4 linked regions of the Oreochromis niloticus genome follow. The protein of the gene in region 4 purifies or fractionates together with the protein of the main gene of each other region. This does not show direct contact. Links are inferred from orthologs where the notes say so. Each region holds a gene or a part of one and is shown on either strand. Other genes may lie near its edges. The genes, in order: spartb, ptpn21, smad6b and wwp1.

What was found.
Region 1: the proteins of wwp1 (region 4) and spartb purify together in Homo sapiens (affinity purification with mass spectrometry; 5 studies listed by BioGRID and IntAct, counting the BioPlex papers as one, with this or other methods). This does not show direct contact. The link is inferred for Oreochromis niloticus from reciprocal best matches to the Homo sapiens genes WWP1 and SPART.
Region 2: the proteins of wwp1 (region 4) and ptpn21 purify together in Homo sapiens (affinity purification with mass spectrometry; 3 studies listed by BioGRID). This does not show direct contact. The link is inferred for Oreochromis niloticus from reciprocal best matches to the Homo sapiens genes WWP1 and PTPN21.
Region 3: the proteins of wwp1 (region 4) and smad6b purify together in Homo sapiens (affinity purification with western blotting; 3 studies listed by BioGRID, with this or other methods). This does not show direct contact. The link is inferred for Oreochromis niloticus from reciprocal best matches to the Homo sapiens genes WWP1 and SMAD6.

Annotation. Positions count from the first base shown.
Region 1 is NC_031979.2:30,838,008-30,846,307, forward strand, and holds the start of spartb (spartin b), read right to left. Parts: upstream 3,055-8,300; 5' UTR 2,912-3,054; intron 2,906-2,911; exon of another isoform or gene 2,736-2,905; intron 2,253-2,735; 5' UTR 2,249-2,252; coding exon 1,427-2,248; intron 1-1,426. UniProt on the Homo sapiens protein: Lipophagy receptor that plays an important role in lipid droplet (LD) turnover in motor neurons.
Region 2 is NC_031983.2:15,959,956-15,967,922, forward strand, and holds the start of ptpn21 (tyrosine-protein phosphatase non-receptor type 21), read left to right. Parts: upstream 1-4,669; 5' UTR 4,670-5,027; intron 5,028-5,713; 5' UTR 5,714-5,835; coding exon 5,836-6,015; intron 6,016-7,565; coding exon 7,566-7,735; intron 7,736-7,967. Other genes in the region: spata7 (spermatogenesis-associated protein 7 homolog), read left to right, coding at 853-900, 1,156-1,253, 1,407-1,861, 1,974-2,019, 2,242-2,360, 2,457-2,507, 2,604-2,681, 2,865-2,922 and 1 more.
Region 3 is NC_031972.2:51,546,180-51,553,770, forward strand, and holds the start of smad6b (mothers against decapentaplegic homolog 6b), read right to left. Parts: upstream 3,008-7,591; 5' UTR 2,146-3,007; coding exon 1,356-2,145; intron 1-1,355. UniProt on the Homo sapiens protein: Transforming growth factor-beta superfamily receptors signaling occurs through the Smad family of intracellular mediators. SMAD6 is an inhibitory Smad (i-Smad) that negatively regulates signaling downstream of type I transforming growth factor-beta.
Region 4 is NC_031974.2:27,338,097-27,345,666, reverse strand, and holds the start of wwp1 (NEDD4-like E3 ubiquitin-protein ligase WWP1), read right to left. Parts: upstream 3,243-7,570; 5' UTR 3,011-3,242; intron 1-3,010. UniProt on the Homo sapiens protein: E3 ubiquitin-protein ligase which accepts ubiquitin from an E2 ubiquitin-conjugating enzyme in the form of a thioester and then directly transfers the ubiquitin to targeted substrates.

The sequences.
Region 1 (8,300 bases), on a different chromosome or scaffold from region 4:
AGGTTAGAGACATTTGATGGTATTGATTTAGTCCCTTAATAAAGAACTTAAGCTGTGTACATACCTCCAAACTCTTTCTTATCTTATCATTGACTGATTGCGGTGCTGACCTTTACAAATCCAACTTGGCAGTTCAAAACACCTCACAACCTTTGATTTCACTGCATCATTGCTTTTTATTCACCAACTTATTTCAAGTCAAAAGAAAAAGAAAAATCTGGAAAGCATCTCAAACATTGTTGAAGATTCACAAACCATGTGATATGTTAAAAAAGTATGATCCCTGCTTTCATGTGACAGTTGAGGCATTAGAGTTAGGGTCCAGCGGACCATCGATTGTGCAATGTGGACAATTTGGCTTTGCAAGACAACTCATGTGAAATAAGCAACTAATCTCTCTTTTTTCATTATTGTTATATTATATAAAAAAATGTTCATTATAATGTTCATAGTACATTTTAAGCTTAAACTGAATGACAAAACTCTTCCAGGATAATGTGCATGCCTACAAAGTAGTGTTGAAAATTTTTCTGTTATAATTAGAGTACCATCTGGAAATTCTAGAATTTTATTCTATTTGGATAAGACTAAATTGAAAATTTAATCAAAATAGTGTTTTATTCATTTTTATGACTAAGAATTTTATGTTAATATGTATTCTATAGGTTTTATGAAACAATTGGTGCAGTGGTTAGCACTGTTGCCTCACAGCAAAGAGGTCCTGAGTTCGACTCCTTTTTCTTTTAAGTAGCCCAGGTCATGTTTCAGTGTATTTGCCTTTAAGTGCACACCCTGATTCAATTTTCAGGTAAACCTTTTAGGTTTTCATCTTTAAAGGTCTTTGAGATATTAATGTTCAAACACTGCTTTAGTTTTTAATGTGTAAAAATGTGTAAAAAAACAAACAAACAAACCACCTCCTACTAAAAAAACCTTTATACCCTTTATCATTTATAGGAGCATGCCCATCTAGCTCCTAGCTACTGTTATTCTCTTTTTAAAACATCAAATTAACTTCACACATATTCTTGGCATAGTGCACATACCTAAACATGTGAACACTCCAAATAACTTCATTTCTTTTTTTGAATATAGTCACCTGTGCCCCAAATCTGATTCATGTCTGCGATTCCCCTGAGGATGACATCATAGCCATAAACCTACTGGGATTAGGGCATTAGGTAAACAACCCTCACATGACTCTGTCCTTTGGAGGAGGGACATTGATCTTTAACTGGCCTATGTCCTTCTGCTGATGACTCATTGTAATGGGGATACTGAGAAATTGAGCAAACATCTTATAAAATCGGGCAAAGGGACACAAAAAAGAAAAAGAGGGAGAGAATTGATAACTTATTTTCTCCAGTGATTGCTTAACACTGCATGAATGTGTCATTTTAAAATCATATAATTTTTTTCCTCTTACCTGCAGAAATGCTGGTGGTCGATTAGGCACTCTGTCTGAGTGATCACTGGTAAACCTCACCAGCCGCAGGTAGCCCGGGTATGAGGGAGCGCTCACTTGCCCCTCAGGTGTGACAAAAAATATCTGCACACCGTGGGGAATGTACAGCAGCTCCTCTCCATCTTCACCTATGCTCTGAGGGGAAGGTGTCGAGTTAGATGTATGACTGTAGAACTCTTCCCCGACCAATGACATCTCCCCTGAATCTGTTCCATATGAGACAGATATGTGACCATCAGCCGCCTGAGGAGAGTAGGCTGGAGGCTGTTCTGCAGGACCTGCAGAGGGTCTGGTAGGTGACAGGGGTTGACCCACTCCTCCGCTTGGAGGCAAACCTCCTACAGCTCTAGCTGGCTGACCATTAGCAGAAGGAATGTCTGGTGGAGGTGGCCGTGCTGGCTTCTCTGTGGTGGGAAGTCCCGGGTAGAGACCTTTCGCAGAAATACTTGTTGCATCAGGGGCAGATACTGCAGATTCAGGGTCAGAGCTGGTCTCTAGTATGGCCATGCGGGTGGTGATGTTGTTTAGTGTCTCCTGCATCTTCTGCTGCATCTGCCTTGCTGACTCCCAGGAGTTGCCAACACACTCTTCCCCCTTCGAAGGCACACTGATAGCCCTAAGAAGGTGCTGTCGTCCTTTCTTGTAGAGCTCCAGGGCCCGACTCTTGTCTCCAGCTTCATCTGCAGTGAGTCCTTTATTGATGCACTCGAAGGCCCTTTCATAGCCATCTTTGATCACTTGAAGTCTGGCATTATCAAATGCATCTTGTTTAGCTTTCTCCATTGCTCTGAAACAAGACAATTGGATTTACATGTAAATTTCTAGAAAGTACAGTACATGCAGGGAAATGATTATCTTGGTTAGACTCTGAAAGGGCTAAAGGTTATTCAAATAATATTTTACTGCTTACTTAACTTCGACCCCAAACTCACATGTACAAGTCACTTAGAAATAAAACACATCGCGCAAATGGCCCTTTTGGTCTTTCGAGATCACAGGTAACCTGGTTTATTTTCGTTACGTACGTCAGTGTTACTGGTTTAAAATGATCCACTAAAACAGGCTTTAAACACACTAATCCTCATGTTAAAGTTGCTAACACAGACCAACAAGAGCTAACATCTGCGTTCGGACAAAGTCAGGAGTTACGCCACGATTTTAGTGTACCGACAGCAACATATATATATAACACATGAAGTCGTAATTAGTGATAACTACTAGCTGTCAGCTAGCTCCAACTCACCTAATAGCGAATGATATTAGCTCTTACCTTAGAGAGCGGAAAACCACCAAAGAACAGCTTATTAATTTGCCTGCTAACGTTCCTCCTAGCTAGCAAAGAGTGTTAACTTCGACCAGGAACCTGAGTAAATAAACTAGGCTTCTCTGCTTGACGACTCCCTAAAGTAAAGGAGTGCCTAGTGATGTCATGAGGTCATTACTGACCTTTCAAAGCAAAAGTTCCGCGACCGACGTGCCCAATACAATCATATGTCAGCCCCCCTTTAAAAAACATAGCAACCGGAAGTAGTGAAAACCACCTAAATTTGACAATTTTTGTAGTTCGTCACTATAACCACAAGAGGTCACTAAGCATCCATTCAAATTGTTTCTACTGATAAATGAACCATTTGAATAAGGGGACACTTCCATCTACTGGTCATAGTGAGCAACTGCAACAATTTATTTTCCATTAAATCAAATTTCAGTTCCATTAATGTCAAGCAGAAATTATACACTTATACACATTATACACTTCCATATAGATTCAAAAACGGTGACTCAATGATAGCAGTGTATATATATATATTTTAATATTAATAAAGAGCGTTTGCAGTTAGTTTGCATCAATAATACAAACTAGCTGAGCTTATGATAAAAAGCAAGTTCACAATGCAGCATTTTCAACAGTCTCAAGCCACACTCATGTTTTTGTTTGTTGTTTTCAAAAAAAAAAATTTTATAAATTTTTTCTTTGGCGCTATTAACTAAATTTTTGGGAAATCTTGGGTGATGCACTAATGCCAAACATACTGCCATTACAGTGATATTATACTGTTTCAAGGGTAAGCAAAGAAGGAGGCAGAGATCTCTAGTTTGACCTGGAGACCCTATGTTTTTTACACTTTTCAACTACCAGCATGCATCTTTTGAAACAGTCACCCGAAATCACAACGTTGGTCATTAACTGGTACAGCAGCCTCAGTCATGGTGGCCATTGCTGGCCACAATCAATACAGAAAAACAGCTGCAATAATGTTAAACAATAACAATAACAACAGATCAAGTTAACTGGAATAGCTGTTATAACTCTGTAACTTAACACGTGAATGTCAGATGAATAGTCCCATGAGTCTTTAAGCTAGTGGCTCCTCCCCTTAGCCCGCTACAATACTTCTTTAGAAAAATGGAACACTATCGGTGATGGATTGGCCTCCCCGTAGCCTGGACCTTACAAGAAATTCACAAGAACATTTGCTTGAGAGAGTTTAGGCTGTCCTGAAGAAGGTGGTCATGACCCTCGAGCTTGATGTCCAAACTTAAACTATGCACTGAAGATTGCATGCTATTCCTGTGTCTGCAGCTTACTCAAGATTGCTCCCATAACCCAAAGACATACATGGATTAGTTTAATTGGTGATTCTAAATCACCAGTTAAAGTAATAAAGTGGACATGTATTCATTAACTGAAATGAATGTATTCAACAAAAAATTGAAAACAGCAACAACTAAAGAGATTCCCGGAACCCTCTTTTATACCTCAGAGGTCTGAGCTGACCTCAGGTCACCCAGCTGTTGAGAAAGCTGAAATATTAATCTGTTCAGTGACCGTTTCCTGTTTACTCAACACTCACAGCAGCTGTGAAACTGAGGAATCTGTTTACCGGTGCTAAATCATTTTAAAGTCAGACAAACCGTTGACCGACTTGACAGAAAATTATGCAGGTTCATCCAAATGTTGATACAAATGTTGTATAATATTTCCAGAGGGGAAGAAAGTGAGTCAGACAGGACATGTCCACTTCTTGTTCGTTGTTCTTCTTTCAACACTCTCACTGCAAATGGCTCATTGAAATTGCTAGCACATGTTATTGAGCCCCCAAGGACAATAAGAAATTTATCTACAAATCTACTGACAAAAATAGAAGATTTGTTATGGATTTTAAAAACATGTCACATTGGCCATAGACACCTTCAGTGACTAGATTTCAGATTTTTGAGACTGCACACCAGAGGGAGTCAAATCCTACCTCAAACATAGATTTTCAGTAGTAGGTGGTGAAAACGGCACAGTTTTTATGTTGCTCTGAGTTCAGTCTAATCAAAAACTTTTAGCATCCTTCATAGTTGAAACATGTTGTCTAATCATGGGAATGATTAGACATGCAGCTTGGTTCAAATGCGCCTCTAATGACTGTGAAATTACCTAGCATGTCACCATCAAACAGCAGAAACCTACAGGCATTTTAAAAGCAATAAGAACAAATCAACATGCATAATTTACTAAGAATGGACTTTTTCTGAATCACTTATGTTTTTGTTTTAGTAGTCTGACTCTCATCAGTTTCTTAGCTGCTGCGACCCTGGAAAATAGCTCAACAAGTCTAATCTCCAGTTTGACAGATTCCCAGTATTCACTGAGCACAGATGCCAAAACACTGGGACCAGACTGGACATGCTCTTCACACATGTTGCGGTGTTAATCCAGTGCAGCTTTAGCTCACTATTTTCAACTCTGTCATGCCCGAGGGCAAGCTGATGTTCAAAGAATCTGAGCTCCAGTCCTTAATATGAAAAGGTCATATTTAATAAGAACCGTGTTCCTGTGTTTCTGTAAATTGTGCTCAAAGTGAATAAAAAAGAAATCTATTTTTCATTCTCTTATTACCGACTTTGTTTTCTGAAGTTAGTTATAGTTTATTATTCATCTCGTTGAATTGTATGTGCATCATACTCTACTTCACTGCAGTTTTTGTCCAGTTGTACTGACTGCACTACAAACAGGTTGCCTGTCTTTACTTTGATTATTTTACCAGATGGGGAAGTTTTGAATTTGTTCTGCTTCACCGAGAGGTCGACTAATGTCTGTAACTGGAACAGGCTGGTAAAACATGTCTTCTGTTGTTAAAGTTGGTCCACATATGGGCAACGTATGTATGGATCATCATTTTGGAAGACAGATTGCTTTAGATCTATAGATCATGGATTTAGTTTGGTCACAGCAATATTTTTTCTATGTGGATAAAGAATATTCTTAATAATTCGTTTTTCTGAGTCATGAACAGCTATAACTTATCATGCCTGCAGCACAAACTACAAGTTAGACTTGGTATAACAGAGAGAGTATGACTGTTAGTCTTGCTGTTTAGTTGCTGTTTTCATGAAGAGTTGCAACATTAAGATTTGTTTTAACCAAAAACAGGTTATTTGAATTCTTTGTATAAACAGACTTCAACATTTCAATACTCATGGAGCTACTGAAACACATGCACAATGATGAATGAGGAGTTACATCTCAGCCAACACTCAAATGATATGCATGTGGGTTTTTGGCTTTGCTAATCCTCAATTATTCAAGTAATTTAAATTCAGTAATCTACTTTTCTGTGGAGTTTTAGTTTTGAGTTTATAAGATAAAAGTCAGATTAAGCAGCTATAAAATGAGTTATTTAAGAAGTTATTTGGAAGAACCAGAGACAAGGCTGTAATGAATGTACAACTCTTTTACAGGCTGCTCTGTGGGGTTTTTCCACATGACTACTATATAATGTTCATATTGCCCCTTAAAAAAACCTTAATAAAACTGTTTTGTCCAAATTTCCCCCTGCCTGACCTCGTATTTTCCTAGACTGCTAGTCTTCAGTTTAATCACAGTGCGGATCAAAACATACCATTACTTTAATGATTAGTCAGTTAAATCGCACGCAGTTGTTTTCATATTTATCTATTTTTATCTTTTGGCCAGACTTTCATTTTAGCTGTAGACGCAGTTATGTCAGTAATTTATTGCTGCCTTTTTGTCAGTGTCACTTTGTTCCAGATATACACTTTGTTAAAGATATAATGATGCTTTCTTTTCCATAACTTTTTGAGCATATATGCGATGGTCGGTGTTCATAAAACAATTATAATCAGAAGAGAGTAATGGTCACATCCATTTCTATTTAGTATTTCTTTTATATTGCTTTAGGAGAAAGATCGGAAGAAAAATGAGGGGTTGAGCAGGAATTATGGCACTGAAGGGCTTCTCAGGCATTGTGTAAACAAATTTCTGCCTGTGTGCCAAAAAGAAGAGCCTTTCTTTCATAGTTATTTGTCAAAATGGAAGCACAAATGCAATCAATCATAAAGGACTGTTCCAGGCTCAGATTTTTGCTATGCAGGTCTAATGTTAGGTTTTTATGGTGTTTGTGTGTATAATAGATAAATAATTCTCTTAATCTTCATTATTCCAAACAGTACTATGATCTGTTCAAAATGAAGACATTCATCTCGAGTAAATGATTAACATTTGTATTTACTTATTTATATGTCCTCGTGCAAGCCCACTAAATAAGCATTCACCATAACAAGGCAACTATGTCACTGCAGTGGTGTAAGATGGCAATTAACTTGAGACTAGAACTTGATATAAATACACAATAATATATATGTTGTTATCCAGTGCACATCTCCTATGAACCAGTAACAAAAAAGGTAGTGGTATCCCATGTGTTTCATGTTTTTATATTATGACCATGAAATAAACAGGTTTGTTAAAGAGCTAAATGTGCATGAATGAGCTATAACCACAAGCAGAAACAAATGGAAATTGTGCAACCACAACAAATGCGAAAAAATGAACAACAAATGATTCCAATTAATGCAAGCGTCAAAATGAATTGCCTTTTTTTTTTCCTGGTGAAGCTGTAAAAGACACACTAAAATATGATGCAGCTGTGTCCTCTGCACTGCATTTTTGAGCCACAAATACACGCCGCTTGTCCACATGTCATAAAACCCCATATGAATTAATGGTTTTCCTAACAGACATCAGGATCTTAAGTCACAGTTTCCCCTCAGCCCTCCACTGAGGTCCGTATTATAGAAAGTTAGTGTCCCTGAAGTGGCTGCAAAAAGTCAGTAAAAGAAGAAAAAGTTCCGCTTCAACAAAACCCTGTTCTCTAAAAAATGTGAGTGTTTAAAAATAATCTTGCTTAAAAGAAAGCTGATAAAAAAGTATGGGCAACAGTAAGAATCAAAAGGTGACTGGTGTCCTCTATTATTATTATATCAGCAAATCTCACCAGTTTGGTTGAGAGTGATTAAATGAGAGGAAATTGAAATACCTTTTCTTTATGAAAAACTAAATGTGGGCATCCTGACCTATTTTTTTAATCAAATGCTTATTGTCCTCGGGTGAAATCCACATAAGCTGCACAGGGCTGACTGAAAAAAGAAAACTGGATCACGGTCGCTAGTAAACCTGTCTCAGGCTATGGGATTTATGGACAGAGAGATCATGTTCTTTTCTGACTCCAGCAAGCTGCACAGTCTTGCACTATCATCCCCAAGGTGAAACAATGCTACAATATTTGGGAAGGCTCGCTGTTCCTACTTTAACATCTGGTTCAAAGGGCGCTAAATATTGAACAGGGTATACCAATCTGAAACACTGCTTTAATAGGAGTCATCAAGAATGACACGAAGTTAACTTAAGCGCTCCCTCACAGATTTAAAAAAAAAAAAAAAAAAAAGAGTCTCCTGCATGAATCACCCAGCTATTAAAAAAGTTATTATCTGTACCAGGGGCTACAGTTACTCCTTCCAGCAGTCTGACAGTCTTACATGCATG
Region 2 (7,967 bases), on a different chromosome or scaffold from region 4:
TCAGTTCAAGGAATTATAAGGAAGGTTTTATGGTTAGATCAGACAAAGATTAAGCTATTTGGCAACAATGACAAGACTGAGGTTTGGAGGATTAAAGGTGCGGCTTTCAAACTTAAGAACACTGTACCATTTGTCAAACATAATGGTTGTAGCATTGTGCTTTTGAGCTGTTTTGCTGCCAGTGGTACTGGTATACTGCACAAAGAGGATGGAATAATAAAGAAGGAGGACTACCTCCAAATTCATCAACTTCACCTCAAATCAACAACCTGACGATTGAAACTTGGACACAATTGGGTATTCAAATATGACAATGATCTAAAACACACACCAAAACTGATTTGGGAATGGATAAAGCAAAGCAAAGCCTCAGCCTCAGAAAATGTGTGAACTATGTATAAAAGCTGGTTCTGTACCAGGAAACCAACATGTGAATGACCTCAACCAGTTCTGCCAGTAAGAGTCAAATATCCACCAAGAATTGTACCCGAAGCTTTTTAGTGGCTACCTAAAGGATCTGGTCCAGGTGCAGCATGCTAAGGGATATTTAACCAAATACTGGTGTAGATTTATGTATATATTTGAGCCTGTATGTATACTTCTGACCCTGCGTGGATCAGAGAAAATCCTAAATAAATTCCAGCTTGTGCACAGATTCTTGTGTTTTACATTACATTACATGTCATCCTTACAGTCTAGACTAAAATTAAAATGTACAAAGAAATAATTAAAAGCTGAAATTACCCTGAAATTCATTCACATGATGAGTGTATGTAAACTTCAGACCAAAACTAAGTATTGTGTTTAATTCTGTTGTGTAATAATACTAATAGTTTCTATCTTATCCACCAGCTGCCATTGATACCTCAGTACCCAAAAGCTTGCTGTATAGTGTGAAGTGTAAGTATACATATATATATGGTGGCCATATTTTCTTATGACTCATACAGCAGGAGATGTTGGGACAAAATAAATTTAGATTGTGTCATCAGTTTAGATAATATTGAGACAAATAATGCCATAATTAGCAGTGCATATAATAAATAAATAATGGGTAAATAAAGTAAAGTATATGCTTTGCTGCTGGTGATAGTTGAGCAGTGCAGAGAATTGTATCTATTGTGCTACTTCAGTTGTTTTAATACCTCTTTACAGACAATGACCAGATCAAGCAGGATCGGTTGAGGAAAAATGGCCGTCCTCAGTCAGCACCTGCACAGAGGAATAGCAGAACCTCATACTCTTCATCACAGGTAAGAAATTCTGGCGTTGTCATTGATCACTGCTTCATGTAATGCTAACAAATTTTTATTAGCAGATTTCACGCAAATGCAAAGCCAACTTTATTTGCTTGAAATCTTTTTCAGTCTACACAACAACAGATTCACCCCATGTGTGTTTTTTAGAGCAGATTATCCATGCAGTATGATGACAGCACCTACCTTTGCTCGAGGAGCTCCTTGGTCTCCAGCCCTAGGTTCAACACCGCCTTTAAAGTCAGTGAGATGGTTTATCCATCGCTCAAAGTCAGCTCTCATCACACTCGCCCAGCATCAGAATTGAAGTATCGGAGCCCGGAGACAGCTTTTCGAAGAAAGTCGTCAGCTTGTTCATTGGCAGTTTCTGGAGATCAGAGTTCCTACAAAACCTTCCAGGACCCTGTCCGGAAGACATACAGCGGAGACTTGCTACTGAAACATTCACAGCACTTTACACAAGACAAACCTTTCACTCCCAAGACCTTAAAATCAGATAAGAGCTCATACCTGTCAAAATATCGCTACTACAGAGCACCACAGAGAAAACCTACTCAGGACAGCAGCAACTCAACATCGTTTCAGCAGGAGATGTGTGATGGAAGGTAACGGCTGAATGTCTTGATGAGACTGCAGATCTAAAGTTGTGTCTTGGGAGATTTTTTTTCAGCATGTGCTGCTTGTGTCTTCACGTGTCTTTTGGTTGTTTTCATACAGCGTAAAGAACAAGGACTGCATGCAGGATGTTGATGAGCCATCTCAGGTAATTTTGATTTGATTAATAATGCATACATATCACAATATCTCGGTAATACTTTCATTATCTTTTGTTCCCTTTAAAATATGCCTAAAGCAGAAGGCAAAACAGAAGCATTTACAGGCTAAAGAGTACAGAATCTATTTGATCACAAGAAAGCTTTGACAGAATTGAATTACACTTCCCATTTTCCAGCCTTCTTTTCTTTTTTCTCTTTTTTTTCTACAGGGATTTATTACAGAGCATGAGTGGTTTGAGGATGAGCTTAATGGCACATATTCATCATCAAGACAAAAGAGTCGAGCAGCCAAGGGCAGAGAGCGCAGTTTTTTCGACTCCTCGTTCAGGTGAGCTCATGCAGTAGAAAAGGACATTGTATTTTATTATTTATTTAATTACTTTCTTTCGTAAAATTCTTTAAGTGTTTAAATTTCATCTTCTAGGGTCTCACCAGAAAACAGGAAATCTCCCCATATGATGAGAGTGTCCACAGAGTAAGTTCACCGACCTTCTGATTAGTAGACAGATTTTAACAATCTAAAGTAATACATTATCTAATAAATGAATTATTGTGTTTTGTTGACGAATAGAGAAGAAGAATTAATGTACCTTAAATTCATTTCCGCTGTGACAGAAGATATCTTGTCCAGGGGACACATTTCTGACAGGTTGAAACATTTTAATATTTTTACATTTCTGTGCCATAGTTAGATGACAAATGTACAGACGTTTGCACAGCTTGTTAATAACTTTGTGTCTGTGTCTGATAAAGGAGTTATTGGTTAAATAGTAGCTGTGAGAGTCTTATTTTGAGTAATTACTGACATGTAAGTGTCTGTGTCCTCTGCAAGGGTCCTAGACCGTGTGTTAAATCGGCACTTCGACATGAATCGTCATCAACTGGATGAGGTCAGCATGTAATTTCGTGCATAATACAAAAAATTTTAGGCAAGTCATGTTCATGGCTTTTTAAGGTGTTCTTGTAAGCCCCGTGCTTTGCTCGTTTTTAGGGTAAAATGCGCCACCTGCTGGAAGTGTTGCGTAAAGACTTTGAAGAACCAACCAACATATCCAACTCCAGTGCAGAGCTTGAAAAAAAGGAGAATTATCTGCTTGATAGCCTCCTACCATGTCTGGAATCAGTGGGAAAACATGTAAAGACCAAAGAAGACAATGACTTGTTCCCTTATGTGTCCCCGATTAAACACTGTGATTTCCCAGCTTATACTGATCCCTTATTGGCTTCTACGCCCTTACGCTCTCCTGCAAGAACTCCTTCTCAAACTGAAATAACTGAAAAAGATAAGAAGGGTGACCGTGAGGGAAAGTTTATTGACTGTTCTTTGGTTAGTGAGCATGTCACTGATAATACAACAGCCAGTGAAAAGGACTTCCATATAATAGGCACAACTGTTACAACCAGCACCCACAGTGAAACCCAGGAGTATTCTGCTATAGCTAGCGATCAAGAGGAAACTGATGGACAGTCTAAAGAGCTTGAGGATCTAGGGAAAAGTTTGTCAGAGTCGTTGCATGTGTCCAGCAACACACACTGTGAAAGCGCTGCCAGTGAGCAACATTCAAATACAGGGGCTTCTGGCAGCGATGATGAATTTTAAGTTTTTATTGTACTGTGGGATTTTATGTCCGTCTACATTTTTACCGAGTGAAGTGTGTTCCAGAGAATGAAGCGATATTTCACATTTTTCAAAGGTGTCATATAAAAAGAAATAACACTGGTTATTTACGAGCCTCACTAAAGAGTGTTGTACTTCTGCTTTGTTTTCGATGAATTTTTAACAACAAAAGCACAATGAAAATGTCAAAAAAAAATAAGTCTGAGCTTTAAAGTTCTCATTTAGGATGGGGATAAGCTTGATCACTGTAGTGGCTGAGCTGCAGTTTACCTCTGCAGTCAGTTTCAGTATACTGCCTGTTAGTTTTAAGTACAATGTAGCACAAGTTAACATTTTCAGATAAGGTGTGAAGTGTGTTCATCCTGAAAAGTCCACTGTTACCAGAAAGTGTCTTTACAACTGCAATAAAATTTGCTTTTTATTCACTGCTTGCTTCTGATTATTGAGACTGTCATTGAGGTTCTTAACTTGGGAAGTATTGCAACTGGGAAACTATGAAAAATAATCTATTATATGTATATAATAGATTTTATGTACACTTCACAGGTAATCTGCAATATTCTACTGTTTGGTTATACACGTCTACGTCCTCATACACATTCATTTTCAATGCTAATGTGCAACATCCTCAAGTAAATTCTTATTTTTTAAATATTTTAAATACATACCAGTGTTTACCGTGCTTAATAAATATAGTCAATAAAGGTTTTATATTTATCTGTTATTCAGTTTTTGTGCAGTGTGTCAGGGAGTATAAACGTGATTTCGTTGTGCTTGAATCTTGAAACTATTTATTAAGCAATATCGTGTGTTTGCCATTACAGCTGTCGACTAAGCTATGGGTCGATGTAAAAAGTAAACAGACAGGTCCTCGCCAGCAGTGCCTGACAGCTGTCCCATTTCTGGCATTTTCACTGCTCGGCATTCCAGCTGTCTGATGTCATCGCTCTGAAAACCTGCATGTATCCTTCCGCTCCAGAGGAACTACAACAGATTTTAAACCGTTTGCTTATAAAAATACACTTAACCAGCTAGCTTGTATAAATGTTTAGTTGAGTTCGTGTTGATTTCAGTGTAGTCCAGGAATGAATTGAAGGCTGAACAAACAAACGCCAAAGCAATAGCGCCGCGGATGAAGACCGAAACACTTGTTGCTCTTCTAATCCCAGGAAGCGAAACACGCTTGGAACTTGGAGTGAACACTTGGACCAAAAGGCATGGGGGCTCTGTTAGTTTGGATCCAGAACAAACTACAGACAAACAAACTGCCTTTTAATCTAATAGTTATCCAGTAAGCAGCAATCCATTGACTTTGGTGGTGGAATCCCTAAGGACTGACCAATAGTTGGACTACCAAGTTGCATCTGGTGGCTAACGGTAACGTTGATGTTTTTTTCCCCCAAAATATTTACCGGGGGCGACGTCAGCTTCCCAAGGGTGTCGTCTATTTGCTGGAAGTTAGCGGGCTAGCGTAAACGCTAATTCCAAACCAGTTGTAGTGAATGTAATGGATTTTCTTAAAGTGACTTAAAAGCAGCTAGATAGTACCAAATGTACCAAATATGTGGACTAAGAGTTTTTAATTGTAGCAGTAAAGAAAGTAGAGTTGTAACTATCAATAATTTGAAATATAATTGATGCATGGTTTATGATTTTGAAGTGCCTGCTGCTTATAGAATAGGTCGCACTTGTCGGTGTTTGGATCAGACTATTCGCCGGAAAGTGATTACTGTAGCCATAGGCGTAGTAAAATGACCATTATAGTTAGCAGTAAGTGCACAGGTCAGAGGGGACATCCGTAGGATTTGCCCTTTCTGCTGTGCCCAGATTGTTAAAGAACTCAAGAGGTGGAGGAATTGTAACGTTACTGAGACCCCATTGCTGTCAAAATGAAGCATTAAGGGGATTACTGATTACTTTACGGTAATCCCCGTGTTAGTCTAGTCTTAAGGGTAAGTATCGTAACATATTCTTTAGTGATGAGTAAGGCCACGCTCTTAAAACTAGTTTTGGTTGTGGTTTTTGGATGCTCATCTGATTGATTTTTCCGTCTGACTTTTCAGACCTGTGTGCTGATGATGAACCCCCTGACTTGTTACATTATCACAACTTTGTGGACATCAAGGAGAATACTTCCTCTGGCCTGAGTGGAGACCCCCTCTCCACTGTTTAAGACGCCTGAAACATGCCCTTGCCGTTTGGCTTAAAACTCAAAAGGACTCGAAGGTATACTGTTTCAAGCAAGAGCTGTCTTGTCACACGGATTCAGCTTCTCAATGGAGAGTTTGTTGAGTTTACACTCTCAGTGGAGAGCACTGGACAGGAATGTTTGGAGGCAGTAGCCCAGAGACTCGAGTTAAGAGAGGTATGTAGGTGTTTTTTACGCAATACAAGTGCTGATTGTTCTCTCTTATATGGACTCTTTAAGACCTGCCATCTCAGCAAGAAAGTATTTTTTTGACTATTGTCTGCTGGTCACATTCTTACTTGAAACTAGTAAGCAGAACAACAGAAACTATGATAACTAGTTTGTCATTGTTTACTCATATAATGTCATTTCCCATAATATTTCCCAAGATGTAATGACTCAATCATTTCCCAGTTAAATACTTTACATAAACATATGGGACATTGAGAAACATGTAATTTAAAAAAAAATTAAAAGCAGAAGTGTCATCTCTTGTAGATCTTGGACAGTATGCTTATGAAAATTACTTCTAAGCATGCATAAGATAATGTACTGAGGTTCATGTCCAAGTCTGGCATTTATTTATCATGTTTGGTTAGTGATGCTAATGCAAGGCCTCCACCTTCATTTACTTTCTGTCACATTGTTTGCTTTTTTGATGTTAGTAGAGTTACTAGAGAAATCATGTGGTGAACTACTCACTCTGTTAAACTACCACAAGCACAATTCACTGTTACATTTGAACCATAGATATATCCGGGTTAGTAGGTCCTGTGTTTTGAATATAATTTTTTAGTATTGCTATAAAAACAAATTTTTGTGATGTTTACACAGTGCTTACTCATAGACAGCAGCTATTGTCCAGTGTAAAATGTCAGTAAACAAATTTCTGGTTGTGTTTTTAGCTGCTCTCTTACCAGTGTTCATTGGGGATATTCGGATAGTCTGAAGGCAGCACAATCTAGAGAAGTCTTATATTTTAGATTTATTTTAGATGATACATAACAGCTACATAAAAACAAGCAGACAAATCATATTAATGTTCCTATTTTTTGAGAAAATTAAATTTCACTGATGATGTTAAATTAAAACAGAAAAACCTCATGTCTCTAGTCTTATTTCAATATAGATACGTTTTTAAGCTCCTCTGTTTTCATATCGGTATTTATATCATTTGGGCTTTCTAGTTAATCTAAGTCTGGCCTAAGTGGGATGGTATAAGCGTTTCATTATTTTGTAAATTTATCTTTCTGTGCCTATAACAAAAATGTCAATCTTTCCATTGAGTAGTTTTCATAAATGATTTTTAGCCAGTCTTCGAATTGTGATACATCAAGTTGTGCTCACATTTTACTGGATTTATTTCCCCTTCATATAGTAGTACTGGCATTAAGCATTTGCCTTCATCAGTTGTTCTATGCTGTGGCCCACATATACACTGTGAAGGTGTCAAATGGAAATGTGTTCATAAATATGGTTTCTAAACATTTGTGGATGTCACGCCAACATGGCCAGAATTTCAGACATTGCGACTTTTGATTTTAAGGTCTGTTTATAAACAGGAGAAGACGTGCAGATTTACATTGGCACTGAGCTCTTAAGCAGTAGCCTATTGGTCTAGTCTTTAATATGTAGTATAAGTCTAAATGTGCCTGCCTGGATTACCGTTTGCCCTAGCGTGGTTAATGTTTAATCTGTCCTCTTGCTTTTTTGTTTTTGCTCGTTAGATAACATACTTTAGCCTGTGGTACTTCAACAAGCAGAACCAGCAGAGATGGATTGACTTGGAGAAGCCACTGAAGAAGCAGCTGGACAAGTATGGGGTGGAGCCCACCGTTTACTTTGGAGTCGTGTTTTACATACCCAGTGTCACCCAACTGCAACAGGAGATCACAAGGTGATCAGTGACAGGAAGTGTCTTTACAAAGCCACTGCCCTTTTTTCTCTTTTACTGTTTGTCGCTCAAGACTACTGGCAAGAAAAACCTTAGAGAATTTTAGACAAAATTTAGTGCTGCCACATCAAGTATTAAAAAGTTGTACTGACTATCAGCTACAGTAGTTAAAACACTCTTACTTGATTGTACAGTTTTTTGTTTTATTTTTTTTGGCCATAAAAAATCAAATGTT
Region 3 (7,591 bases), on a different chromosome or scaffold from region 4:
ACAAATATCACACTCTTGTCTATCAAACTGATCTTATTCAAACCAATAAACAGCAAGGTTTGTCAGCACACTTGAGGTTACATATAATCGGTTCTGATCGATTTGGACAGCGTGTTAGGACACCAGAGCCAAAATCCACATCAGTTTCCCTCATTTGCTCAATATGAATTCTGATATTGTTAAACTTGTGACTTTGAAGTGCTTGTCACAGCCAGCTGGCTCTAGTAAACATGGATGTTATGGAAAATCCTCCTCCTGTGCCAGTGAAGGGACAGAAATACTAACGCTTGCATCTTTACACATGATACCAGGCGTTGTCACTGGGTCAGCGGGGTCGAGTGGCCCTGCGTTTAAGGTTTTTCAAATCGTAGACCCCGTCCACTGCCAAAATCTAATCTGTTTAATAGAGGTCAGGGAGGTTCTGCCATAGATAACTGATTGATTGTGGAAATAAAGCTTAATCTCCAGCACACGCCACTTAAAGTGACATACAGCAGCGAGGCTGTACCTCTGAGTAACTCTAAACAGCCACATACATGTCATACACAAAAAGTCAAAACAGAGGTACTGGCAATCACTCTGAAGGCACCGACTTGCTCAGACACACTACACAGTACACACAGTGCTGTATACATGAACAGCGGAACAAACAAACAAACTCCCCTTTATTGGAAACTTGATGTCACAGGCCACTGAAGTGAGCTCTGCAACAACACAGAGCTGTTCAAATTCGACTTTCTGGGTCAAAACTGACAGGCACAATAAACCGCTGAAAAATGTGTGCAAATCCTGGCTTGTTTTCAACACACGCTCTGAACAAATATAATAAAATTACCCAAGGTATCATCTAAGTAATCTGCCCCACATTTATGCTTTGTCAAATCTTCATGCATGTCCCTTTGCTCGCACTTATTATTATTGCTCACCTTGCAGTAAAGATGGCTTCGGTAATCATTAACTGTTTAATCAAATGGTCAACCTTTCTCTATCACAGGGTATGAAACCAAGCCAAACAACACAGGACAAATAAAGCAGTGTGACAGAAAAATTTCCAAGGCCCTTTACTCCCCACCCCTAAATAATGCTGGTTTCTGCCTTGTAACTCTAGCACGATCTGCCTTTAAATCAAATGGAAAATGTTTGAAAGTTATATGAAATTGTTGCATTTAAAGAAAAGACGCAATATTCTGCAGTAAAGATGTGTCAAAGTGAAAATACAGAGACAACTTTGAGGAATCTTTTTCATGCAAAACAAGTGCAGATGCCCAAATGCTTAGTGCTTTGTTGTCATTTAAGCTACATTGCAGGCCTTTGTGGTACAACATGCATGCAGTTTGTGTGGCAGACTCTTTTACCTGGCCCACAGAGTCGACTGTAGTGATAGGGGTTGCAGCATACTGTTGGACTGTCCGGGGCCCCAAAGCTCCTACACTCACAGAGCGGTTTGAGCTGGGCAGAGTGCTGGAGGTCAGACCAGCGGTACAGTTTACACACAAGCAGCTGTGGGGATGCCACATGGCCGCCGAATCTCAGCTCTGTCCGTGAAATCATAACACAGTCGCTCGGCATCCCTCCTCTGGACTCCACCGCTTCTAGTAAGGTATCCAGCGCTTTTTCCTTGAGCCGTTTTAAAAGAGCGTATGTGGCTGATTTCAGTTCTTGCTCTAATACCGTGCGTGGCATCGCCTCCTGCGCCTCCGGAGAGTCGCTGTCTCCTGGTCCAAGGTTCCTCAGCCCGAAGTGACACGACCCCGGATCCCTGGTGCCCTGAGCCGTCTCTGCACCCCTAAGCTCGGAGTGGTCCCGGTCTTTAAATAAGCAGCACGTCACCGTCCTGCATTCGCTGTCCTGTAGCGAGCGGGGGCTGCCCTGCTCCTGGGCACACGCGGCACCCCCATCCTGGTCCGACGTGACCCTCGAGTCGCTGCTCTCCACGGGGCAGACACCCCCTATGTCCACGACAAGAGACCCGCTAGGGGTCATCGGTCTGAACTCCGTTTTGGGAATTTTCTCTGGGTTGTAGCTGAACAGATCGTCCCTACAGCCCTCACCAGTTTTGCCAATTCCATCTTCCCCTTCTTTATCTGGGATCAAACGGCTTCTCCAGAGTCGCCGCACAAGACCTGAGCGTTTCGTCCTGAACATACGACAACTTGAAAATCTATAAGGATTTTTTTTATTATTACTCTTGTACGGATATCCTAATATTAAAGACACTTCTCCGGTCGTTGCAAAACATTAATGACGCTGAAATGCCGTGCAGTGCATGCACAGCCAAGTGACGAGCATTGGTGGCAAAACCGCAACATTAGAATTAAGGAGATTTGGTTGCATCTACAACAGCAAAACCGAGCAACAAATGCACTGCACCATTCCGATCAAAAGGCATGAATTCAGCCGATTATAATGTAAATAAACAAACTATGAAACTGTGGCTTATTCTCCAGGATCGCTGTGGAATGGACTGTTTACAGCCTTTTTTTTCTTACAAGCAAATAAAAAAATAATCTGAACACATGAAAACATATAGTAATATATTCTATAACATAATCCAAAGCCAACAGCCTCCAAAGCAAGACGACAACTCGCTGCCTCAAACAGTTCCCGACTTTTAGCCACCCCAGTTCTACTTTCTACACCGGCACGTAGAGCATGAGGTACTTCGATGCGTTTTAATCCAAAGTAAATGCACCGCAAAGTCAGGATCCTTGCCGTCTTCTCGAGATGTCAGTGCACTTCTTCTCTTTTTAAAATCCAAACAAAACGTCCATGCGTGCTGAAATGAGCTTTACGAAGCCGATCGATCCGGGGCTGAGTAGAGCTCCTGCTTCTCTGCTCAGATCTAAACCAAACTGCAGCCCAGGTCCCGTTCTTTCTCCGTTTCTCGCTCTTTTTCTTTCAGCCCCCCTCCTCTCTCTTCCTCACACACACACTCACACACACACATACACACACACATACACGGGGCCCCCGAGGAGAGCGGTGGAGCCATTGGCTGACTACCATCATGTGCTAGTCTAGACACTTTGGCGGCTGAGCTGCACTGATTGTTGCGCAAACAAGGTTTCAAGTTTCTTAACTCTTAAAGGCGAAACACCCATCTCTCTTTTTAAGTTAAAGTTACAAAAACTTATTTACACCCACTGCACTTAGTATGTAAAGTTTTTACAGAAAGCGAAAACAAACAAACAATTGAGAAGCTCATATGCACCAATATGTGCTTTTATTTCTCCGCTGAAAAGTCTGATTATTTTCATTATTTATTTTGTTTTCTACTTCATTTTTTTTTATTGAGCCACAAACATGGAATTTAACTAGAAATTTTTAGAAAATAATCTAATAAAGTTTATGAGATTATGAAGAGTGAAGACAAAGCATCAACATAGCATAAAAGAAATAAGACAAAAATAATGATGCTGACACTCATCTTTCAGTCTGTCTTCACCTAAACAGGCATGAATAAATAATAAAACTACATGAACACGGAAACCCTGCAATTGCATTTACATAGGATGACGGACAGGACGATCGATCTTGCATTAGACCTAATCTTTGACCCATTGACCTCATTAGGAATTTTTTCTTACTGAAAATACAGTTTTTCTGCAGTTTTGTGATGACATCGCATGCATTGCCTTGCTGGGTGAAAATAAAAGCAGTGCTGATCACAGTAAATTCACACATCATGAAGTTTTAGCTTTGATTCAAAGCACCAAAATGCTCCCAATTTAAACTCGTAGTTTAAGTATTTAAATATGTAAGAATTATATTAAGTTAGAAACATTCTTATATATAGAACTTACACATTATACTGGGCTCAGGGCCACTTAGCTGGTTTTCTGACTGCTTTGGGTGTTCAGATCAACACAACTTTACTTTTGGATATTTTGGTCTTTAAGTATGCCTGAAGTCTAGAACCCACGGACCTCACCAAACGCTGTGTGTCATGTCTTGAGATGCTCTGCCAGGACTTGATTGTGGGTCTTTATGCATTCAGTTTTGTCCCCAGTAAATGAGAAAGACCAGGTGACTGAACTGGCCATTGAAGAGTATCCCATTTCTTTGCCTCAAAAAACTCTTGGATTGCATTTGCAGTATGGTTTGGGTTATTATCTACTTGGTCTGTGGAATGTAGTCCAATCAGTTTTGACTGAATCTGAGCAGAGAGTATAGCCCTGGAAATGTTAGTATTCATTCTGCTACTTCTATCAACAGTCTCATCATCCATAAACACGAGTGACTCACTTCCGCTAACAGCCATAAATTCACATGGGTTCACCATGTTTGACAGATGATGTGGTACGCTTCACATCGCGATCTGTTTATCTCCTTTTCCACGCTCTTCTCTTCCCATCATTCTGGTACAAGTTAATCTTGGTTTCATCTGTCCAAAGATTTATTTTAGAGCTGTACAGGCTCTTTTAGATGTTTTCTAATTAAGTCTGATCTAGTCTTCTTGATCTTTAGTGTGGTTTGCACCTTGGTGTAAAAACTCTGGATATCCATTTATGAAGTTGTCTCTTGATTGTAGACTTTGACAGTGATACTCTCAACTCCTCAAGAGTGTTCTCACCTTAGATGTGTTAGATGTTGTGAAGTTGTTTTACTTAAGCAAGAACATGGACACAACAACAGGTTTTCGGTGTAGCCGAGATGGACACTGCATGCATTCTTTTGAATACCTTACCAAATTGTTGATTTGGACACTCCTAGAGATTTTTCTGAGTCGCTGATGAACTTATTTCAGTTTTCAGAGCTCATTATCTTGCATTGGCATCTCTTTGGGCCTCATATTGAGAATTCCAGTGAAAAGCTACCAATTCCAGTTTCAGCACTTGGAATCAACTTGAGATTTTTTTATCTGCTTAATGTGTCATAGAATGAGGGTGCAGGCCTCACTGGTCTATGAAACTGCTTGTAGGTAAATTGTCCAGCTACTTTTGACAGTCTTTTGAAACCATGTAAAATGGTGTAATTCCTAAACAGTATAGGAACACTTTTGCAATATTTTAACTAAGCATTTGAACTATACACTGGTATCAGTATGGGAAAATGGGACTGCAATACCATACTGTGGGTGCTTGGATGTCAGTTTCAGAAACCCTTGCTATTTATGTACTAGTGAAGCAACACGTACTAATATGTTTTCGTAGTTATTTTAGATAACCCTCTCTGCTTTTTAGAACTTGCAAAGCTGCTATAGCAGCTTGTTTTAGTAAACAGAAATTACATGTGTAGAGGCAGTGGCCTTCACATTGGCTGGAGACACAACAGGTGAACCCTTACGCACTGACCTCCCCACGATTCGGCACCTCCTAATCTCAAGTTTCTTGTCTTGTCAAGACAGGCTGCAAGAATAAAAAAAACATAATTCAAGACTTAAAAGTTTAGTAGTAAACACTGCTGATTGGCAATAGAAAGCTTAGTAACTAAAGTTTAAACCCAATATTAAACTTGTCATGGAAATTAAATTATACCATGCTCAAGTCAACCATTGGTAATGTGCTAAAATGTTAAACAAGACAAATTTTTAACTCATATTAAGTGTACTTTAACCTGATAACTATCTTAGTAATGTTTGAATGGAACATATGTAATCTAAGGCTTAAATATAAAACTGTATCTCTTATATAAAGAGTTTCTTTATTCCAGTATTATAACAGGAACTATGGACACATTGACTTTTAAAAAAACTTCATAATAAACACATGCAGCTTTCACTTGAACACCTCTGAAGCTCTCCGGGTTGCTCCAGTGGAGACTCCAAGCTTTGGCTGCAGCAGCATACTGTGCCAGTGTCTGAACTGGAATCAGATTTCCCTGGCAGGATCAGGGCTTTGGGGCAGGGGGAGGTTACTGAGGGTAGACGTGGAGGCCCTCATGCCTGCACTGTGTTAGAGGCACCTGTTGCAAATGCATTCCCTTTTGTAACTCAATCACATGTCAGACAAGGAAAAGAAAACTGTTATTACAGAGTACTGCTTCATTTGAATCATGCAATTTTCAGTCAAGACAAAAGAAGACCCAGCTGGCTCATAAGTCAGTGAGGCTGTCTGCTCTGCCATGCTCGCTGCTGGAACAGATTCATGTGAAGCAAACCTCTGAAAGCATCAGGAGCATGCAGACATATTAGATGCTTTAAATTTGGTACAGCGTAAGTTACATACCGATGATCCAGTGACCCTGGGAGAGGGTCTTGACTCGGTCACTGTTACAGCGAGTTAACTAATGAACCTGTGTGAATATCTTTAAATCAACAGGACACTGGGATATCATCAAGGCAGAGGTTGGATTTTCACGCTGAAATAATTTTTTGTATTTGTGTTAAAAAATGCGTACCAAAGCAACCAGTTTGTGGATTTCAGTTTTTTATATATTTGTATGATTTGTTTATATGACGGCATGCATTTTTGAAAACAATTGTTTACTTTGTGTTCACCAAAGAAGACAGCGAACACTTTTGGAATAAGAAATGCCAGTAATGATTTCAAAACAACTTGACAATTTGTTTTATTCAAGTGTATTATATATCAATGCTGTTTCATTTCTGTTTATTTTATTCTATTTATGCACCGACATTTACTCTTGCAGTCATTGAGTATCATCATGCATTTGTCAATGTATAATTCTGGATCAATGGCAGACATCGGAAGCTACCAGCAGTGACTCTTCATTAATAAATTAGACTGCCCATCTGTTTAAACACTGGTCGGTTGAAATGCCCCTGAACTTTGTAGTTTTACACTTCAATGCCAGTAAAATCAGTTTGCAAACTGCACACTTAATTCAGTTCACGTATGGAGGACATATTTAATTTCAAAAGGAACAAAGAGAAGTTCTTCTTAAACATGTATTAAGAATGAAAAAGCTCATAGCAGCACATATCATGCCAATGTGATACCAACAAGAGTAGGCCAATGCAAAAATGGTATTTACAGCTCCACGATGGACTGTAAGAGGTTCCTACATGAGAAACTGTGATTATCAGGCAGAGCGGATGTTTTTTCTTTTTTCTTTTAAGTGACTTTTGTTGTGCATTTGATTATTCCAAGGTTTCAAAGATAGACACAGAAACGTCAAGACAACAGCTGTTAAAAATAGCACTTGCGATATGCATGTCCTCTTATAATGGCAAAGTGCTACAGTAGAACAATGACTGTATGATACATGCTGCCTGAAACAACCTGTGGCGTTTCATGTTTTTAAACATTCATAGGCAATATGCCTTATTAATTGTTTTTTATTGAAACAACGGATTATTTAAAGTGCTATCTTAAAGCTACAAAAAACAAAACAAAACAACAGCAAAAAAACCCCAAGCAAACATGGACCTTACTTTAATTGAGAAATCAAAGTTCTGGCATTTGAACTTTTCATTGTGCAGTTGTGTCTGAGCCCTGCTCCACTAATGCATGCTGCATGTGTGAAAGCGTGTAAGGGAAGACTTCTTCAAAGAGTAAGAGGTAACTGAGTACGAGGATCTAAAACAGGGCACAGCTGTTCACACAGGCCTGTCCCCTGGCCTTCCCCTCTCCCTGTGAAGGCCCAGTCCCATGCACCCCTGGAGACCCCTGGGTAATACTGCAGTGGT
Region 4 (7,570 bases):
ATGCGTGGTTTACAATGACTACTTTAAAGGTCATGCAAGCCATTTCTATTCCCTTAATGCACATATTTATATAATATATCTTATATAGCTCTCTCAGAGTACTCAAAGCGCTCTATACAACATGCCACATTCACCCATTCACACAAGCATGTGCTTGTGTGCTTTCTAACTACCATTCACACACATCTGATGGATGTATTGGAGAGCAACTTGGGGGTTAATATCTTGCCCAAGGACATTTGGCATGCAGGGGGAGGAGCCAGGGATCGAACCACCAACCTTCTGATCAGTAGATGACCTACCCTACCTCCTGAGATACAGCCACCCCAAGTCAGGGGTTATGTCAGGTATTGATTAAAGTGGGACCTGTGAGGGTTACTACTAAACAGCATCTCTGAGCAAGAAATATGGAAACAGAGTGGTATTTATACAGCGGTGTTTGACTCCTAAACACCAAGGTTGAAAGAGGATCATAACTCAATAGCTGATTTAATATTGCAATTAAATTTGTTTTCTGAAATACAATTTAAACATTTTTAACAGCTCAGAGTTACTGACAATCTGAAAATTGTTAGTTGCCCAACTAATACACACCCAAGGACTTTGGCTTATCGTGTTTACAGATACCTGTTTTGAACCTGTTCAATACCTGCTTGGAGGGGTTTAACAGCAAGTCTAGGGGACAATTAATATTTTATTTGTAGGATCTGGATTCTTGGGTAACACCAGATGAATTCACAGTTATTAAAAAAACCTATAAAACCATAAAAAACACAGGACCTTTAATCTTAGGTTCACTTCAGTTTTCTTTGTTTTGCTCGAGGACTGCTTATCTGTTTTAATATGCTGGCTGCCAGCAGGGTTAGCACAGGGTTAGATTTGCCTACAAAACAAGAGTAACGTGCTTACTGCTGGACATGCATTTTGTATTTTGTGATGATTGTCTGATCATGTTCCTGCTTTATTCCAAAGGTTGCAAAGGAGAGGCTGGCTAACAAAAAAATCTGCTTCACAGCAGACAACTTGTTTCTGTAAGTGTACACCTTTGTGTGTAAAAATCCAAGACAAATCCTTTCTCACACCACCTGTCAAACAAGCTTTGCTGTCTGTTCTAATGGACTGTCCGTCTTCCTGTGACCTAATGACGCACATAACAGTTTATACATAGACACACATGCCCGCTGTACTACAGCTGTCTATAGAACACATCCGGGCAGACCATGAACAGGACTGAAGCATAAATGCATATAAAGTATATTTAAATGTTTAAAAGTCCTGAAGCTGAATAACTATTGTTTTTAACCTGACACCGACTGACATGGTTATTTTTTTTATTTATTACTTACTTGGGTTATTTTTATGTTTGTTCTCTTTATTTTAATTTTTAACTAATGTAGCAGGAATTTCCTAACTTTAAGACAAATACAGTAAATCTTATCTTTATCCAAAATAATAAGACGGTGATTATTCTTACGCTACCCCATACCCTAAAAGCTCTTTAAAGTTTCTTTAGTCCAGCTCTCTTTTATTTTGCCAGACTTAAAAAAAAACTCTCACATGGGCAAAACACACAAGCTTTACACAATGGTAGCAGGCTACAACTCCTAATTTCACCCACAGCTGCTTTCCTGCTTTTCAAAAGGTCAGTGTCTTTGCAAGTGAGTGAGAGCACAAAAACAAGCATATTTTAGAGCCAGCAGGCAAATAATGCTGCCTTAACAGACACTTTACTCTAAGTAATTTCCTTCCAATGTGGCACTAGCATACACAGCATGTGATAGCCTAAATACTAAACCACTGTTCATGACAGAGAGACAGCAAGACACTAAGAATCCTGAAATACAATAGCAGATACTGTATAAACATAAACCTGCATCAGCCACTCAAACAAACACAGCCATGAAAGACCATTTCTCTTTGAGACCAAGCCTGTCCAGAAAAGGGAAATGTAAGGCAACTGGGCCTAATCAGTACTGACAGGGATTCTCATCAGGTGTTAGCGGAGCCCACATAAATATGGTCTCTCTTACTCTGTCTCTGCTCAGAATTTCGTCTTTAAAGCTAGAGACCCTGAAAGTGTTACATGTTCAACTCACTATTCATTGGATAACTCAAGTTGGAGCAACACTAAAATAAACAGCTGTGGCTCAAGGGTCAGGCTCACATTCACCTGTGCCAAGCACTGTCTACGACCCGAGAAACACCCAAAGGCTAGAAATGTCAACACGTTTAAAAGTTGAAGGGTAACATATCATTTCCTTTCACGAGCAAAAGTTTGGTAATCAGTCACATGGATTAATGGATAATAAAGCAGAAGATTGATTCCACTTTGACACAATTCGCAGGCCATACGCTAGCAATGCTTAATTTACATATTAAATACTGATCATAACACACAAACTCAGGTACAGTTATCGAACAGCGGCTAACTTTGGGGTAATCTACTGACTGCTAGCATTAGCTTACAAAGTGTAACTTAATAGGCAGCTACTGGCCTTGGGACACTTAACCTCCTAAATCTATTTGCAACACACATACGTACAATAAGTGCAGATACTCCCGGTGACAACCTTTAAATGTGTAGCAGTACTAGTCTGTAACTAGCTATCAATAAGGTAGCCAGCTAGCTACAGTTAAAAAAAAGCAAAACAATTTTAGTCTTGTGAAAGTAGCTTAACGCTAGGTGACTATCCTTTCTACTGTGTGTATAATATCCATCTGACAAACCAAGAGGTGATAACGGGCACATAACTAAAAACGTAGCGTGTTTGCTTAATCTACATCTGCATATTGTTATAACGTTACAGCAGACGCTAGCTAGGTGAGCCAAGTTAGCTGCTCGCTAGCCGGCTATCTGACTAACTTACTTAGCATCTGGGCTAATTGTCCGCCATCACAAAGCTAGCCAGTTCGGCTGCATATAAAATACAGGCTTATCAAGAAATACTATTTAAACACTCGGAGAACGTCTTTCTAAATGCTTTAAGTGACATTAGCAGGGGTGTTTTACCTTGTTCGCTGTTCCTCTACTTTCCTACACTCTGTATCTTTGCTGTGTGCTAACGCAACGGTTGTCAGTAAAATCCTCAGCCGAGCAGGCCCCTCAGTCTGCTACGGCTCTCTTGCCATCTCTGTACAGAAGCCTATGACTAGCAAAACACACGGGCGACAGGCGCGCCACCCCAGTAGATACTAGTGGAAAAGGGGTAATACTGCCGTGTAATAAGTCGGGGCACGAAACAGGCTTACTGCTATACACTGCACATTTATTACTTTTATGTAGTCTAAACGGAAACTCTTAACTAAAATATTCGGTTCGTCATGATCCAATTTATTAATAAAATCCAAACTTTTGTTTTTCCTTTTAAAATATTCTTTGTTTGTTTGTTTAATCTCAAAACTTATTTATTTTTACATTTCACGTTACTGAACGTTGTAGGCAATGTTGACTGAAAGTCCCGTTTCCCGTTTACTTAACCAATTTTACCAGAAAAATGATGTAGGGGGGTGTGCGTCCCAACTAGGTCCCCCATAAATCTGTCGGGCACCGATACATTAGGAACGAAAACTAGGCCGATTTGTGGTAATTGAATGTGTTGATGTAATGTAACCTCATATTACCTGATGCTTTTTAAAAATATATTTGTAGTTTTTAAAGTTTAGAAAATAAAAATATTTAAAAGAAAGAAGAAAGATACACGATTAGATGTGTTACTAGTGTTCACCTTTACCTGCCTTGTTGTTGATCTGTAAGACCATTAGAGACTGATTTCAACTTGTGATTGTTAACCAGATTTTCTGAAAGAGACTCACTGTGTCTGACATACTGTTTCTAACTTTACATATTTTTCCCCAAGTGTAGCAAATTTCCTAATTCTTTCAGCCACTTATCAAACATTGGAGTTGTCTCAGACTTCCTAGACTGGAGCAGAATTTTTCCTGCTAACACTGTGGATAGAGCTTCTTCATGATGTGTAACCTGCTTGAGTCTACCACCCCAAATAATGCTTTAAGAGGGGCAAAGGGGCACTCCAAATTAAAAACCTTGGTGAAGAAATCAAATAAGTGATTCTAGAAAATCTATAATCTTTTGAGAACCTCATCTGTGCAAGTCTTTGGAAGACTGAATTGTATCAGAGTGTGCAAAGAATTTATATAGATGCTGTGAATATTTGCCACAACATTTTTCCCACACATGCTCAGTGCCTAGTTCTTCCTGCCAGTGTGTCCTGATGCTTATTTTTTTATCATTTTAAAATACAGAGTACATTCAGATTCTGGAGCCAGCTTTATTTTGTAAAAAACAAAACAAACAAACAAAAAAATACTGCAGTGACTTATAATTAACACGTTATTTTCCACATATTAAAGAGAAACTTATACAGACACATTTCAGACCCTTGCTGGTGTTGTTTACAGAGGATCTGCTGCTCTTTTTCATGTGTGTGGTTGATGATTTACAAAATCTTACAGTAATGAATGTTATATTAAATTGTCTGGAAAAATCAAAAGTTTTCTATATTTTACATAGAGATATTGATGGTTGTTTAATGGGACGTCTCGTGGGATTGAGGTCTCTTTTTTGCTAAATGTTTGGAGCACAAAAAAGTAAAAATAAAATACAATAAAATGAAATAAAATTCAGAAAAGCTTGCAGTCATTATACAGGAACAACAGCTCACAGGGTATAACACAAGATGCACGTACAAGAATCATAAAAGTTTTTGTCAGTTATGTTCGAGTATCGAAGTTACCCACTGAACAGTCCACAGATACAGATGGTAAACTGGGACAAAATCGAAAGGCTAAAAAGCTTTGTTATCCAACAGAAATGTAAAAGTATTCTGTGGGTTTAACTAGTTGGTATGTGTACTTGTCTTGGAGTCTCTAATGTCAAATTTTCAGACTCTTCTTAAGAACATTCGTTACAAGATTTGTGAAGGTTTTCTTGGGATTTAAATTGACTATTCCCCGTTTGATATGATGCAGAATTGACTCCAAGCTGCCCAAACCTAAAATGACGACAGATCTCAGTACTGTGCTTAATACACTTAATAACAGTTCTTCTACTAAGATCTGTTGCCTTTTGTCTATACCAAATATTGCAACTGTTAATTTGCACAAATAATGTCAAATGATGTAGTCAATATCATTTTTAAAGCAAATTAAAGCAAGGCTTTCTTTAAAATTATGTTAAAAGGAAGTTTTGAAAGCCTTGAACTCCAAAACCTAGACATGAATTAAAATAAAGATACAGGACCTAAATTAGTGGTGAAGTTTCTTTTTGAAAATTAAAGATTCTTCATTTGGGTAAAAATAAAAGTTTGAATTAAAAAATACGTCTCAATGTTTAAGTTTTTACAATTTCTTTTTTGAGGAAGTATTTGGAGGACATGAACTGGAAGGGGTGTTTTTTTTTTCAGAATTATATTAAAGATGATGCTGTGTTGGTGGTCGCTCAGTATTATTGATCAACTATTATAACGAACCTCAGTCTGTACTGTTTTTTGTTAGTAGGCACATGGAAGTAAAAATCCTAATTATCTGTTTCCTAATTTCGAATAGCATTTGAGTCAAGGGGATGCTTTTGAGCTTAAAATGATTGACTAATTAACAAATAATCCTAAAATAAAAACTGCTGTTCTGTGGCAGGCAGATGGGTGTAATTCCAGGAAGAGTGCAGATGTAATTGATGACACTGTTATTGAATTGTGTGGTCCTGGTATGGTGCATGCTGGACTCCTGGTGTGGATGACATTTAAACTGAATAAATGATGTTATGAGAATCATTAGAACTGTAATCATCACACATCCATCTCTCAAGTGAACAGCTCATCTCAGTCTGCAAAAATAATGGAGACTTATTACAATGACAGGTCCAAAACCTTCCAGGGTTACTACATTTGTGACCCTCATTTGTTGGTGAGCCAGAGGCCACAGAAAACTCTGTAATCTTACATGAATTATTTGCAGGTGGGTACGTCAGTTTAAATGAAATACATAAAATAGTATCGCAAATGGCCCAGTGAGTAAAATCACTGTCTAACCTGTTTGAAAAATAATTTTTAGAGTAAACAAGAACAACTGCAATCTTAAAACTTGAATCAATTTACACAACTGTTAATAAAAAGGGAAGTCTTTAAAAAAAAAGTTATTACACTCTTAAAATTTAATTAATCTAAATTTTTTTAATGCATTTAGTCAGTCTACTGTCATTACACACATTATCACTGAAAGAGCAAAGGGGTGCCACAAAGACACAAAAACTTCACATGTGTAATGTAATAAAAAAAATAGCGTTTTAACAACTTTATGTTTCTAACAAATTGCTGAGATCTAGAAATTGTTCTTGGCATCATCACACTGTGAAAGATGGTTCATTTTACAATAGGAGCCATATGTTTGAGACCCATACTCTAAACCTGTTTTGTCCTCACAACTGCATTGTTATATTGGGCCCACAAAAATAATGAAATAAATAATTCTTCAGAACATGGAAATGTTCCTGGATGTGTGCCACTGGACTTATTTCCAACAGACAACAAAATATGCAGCTCCAGAAAAGGTGAACCCATGTGAACTTGACAGGGTAAGATAAGCAATCTAAGAAAGCTTGATCTACAATCAACAGGCAATTTCATGATTGGGGACATGTATAGGATTTACCACAAAGTGCAAATGCCTGGTTACACTCAAGAAGGACAGTTTGACCTTTGTCAGAAAGCATCTAAATGAGTGCACAGTTTGGACAAAAAATATTGTATAGAAGAAAAACAGATTAACTTGTACCAGAATGGCAGGAGGAGCAAAGCATAGAGACAGAGGGAAACAGCTCATGATCTGCAGCATACCACATAAGTTCGCCAGCATACCTGGCGAACTTATGGCATGGACATTTATGGCAGTGGAACTGTGTTTCTATTGATAATGTCAATGCTGCTGTTTGTAGCAGGGTTAATTGTCAAGTGCAAAGGATTATATTCTCTACTCAGATTCAGCCCATTACTGCAAAAATATTGATTGGATATAACTACGCAGTGCATATGGATAACGATTTCAATTTGTGGACATCAGCTTTTAACCAGTGCCAGCAGATTTTTGAAGGGCTTACATATCTCAGATATCATCCATCCATCCATCCATCCAGACACATAATCGCTCCAGTATATAGTATATAGATAGTCCAGATATCCCACATCAACTGGCTCTTTCAAATGTGGAGGTGCAGCAGCTCTGAGCCCCTCACAATCAAAATCTTTATCCTCTCTGTAATTGTGAACGAGATACCCTTCAGAGGAAGCTCATTTCTGCACCTTGTATCCAAGATTATATTCTTTCTGGTAGTATCTGTAGTTTGTGGCTATAGTTGAGGGTAGAAAAGCATTGTTTAGTAATTTGACAGCTTTGCCTTAACACTCAGCTCCTTCTTTATCACAACAGACCGATAGAGGACCGAGATTACATCAGATGCTGTTCCAGCCTGTCTGTCAATCTCCTGCTCCACTCTCCCCCTGCCCATGAACAAGACCACAAGTTACTTCAACTCATCAAATTCAGCTGATCAAGAGAC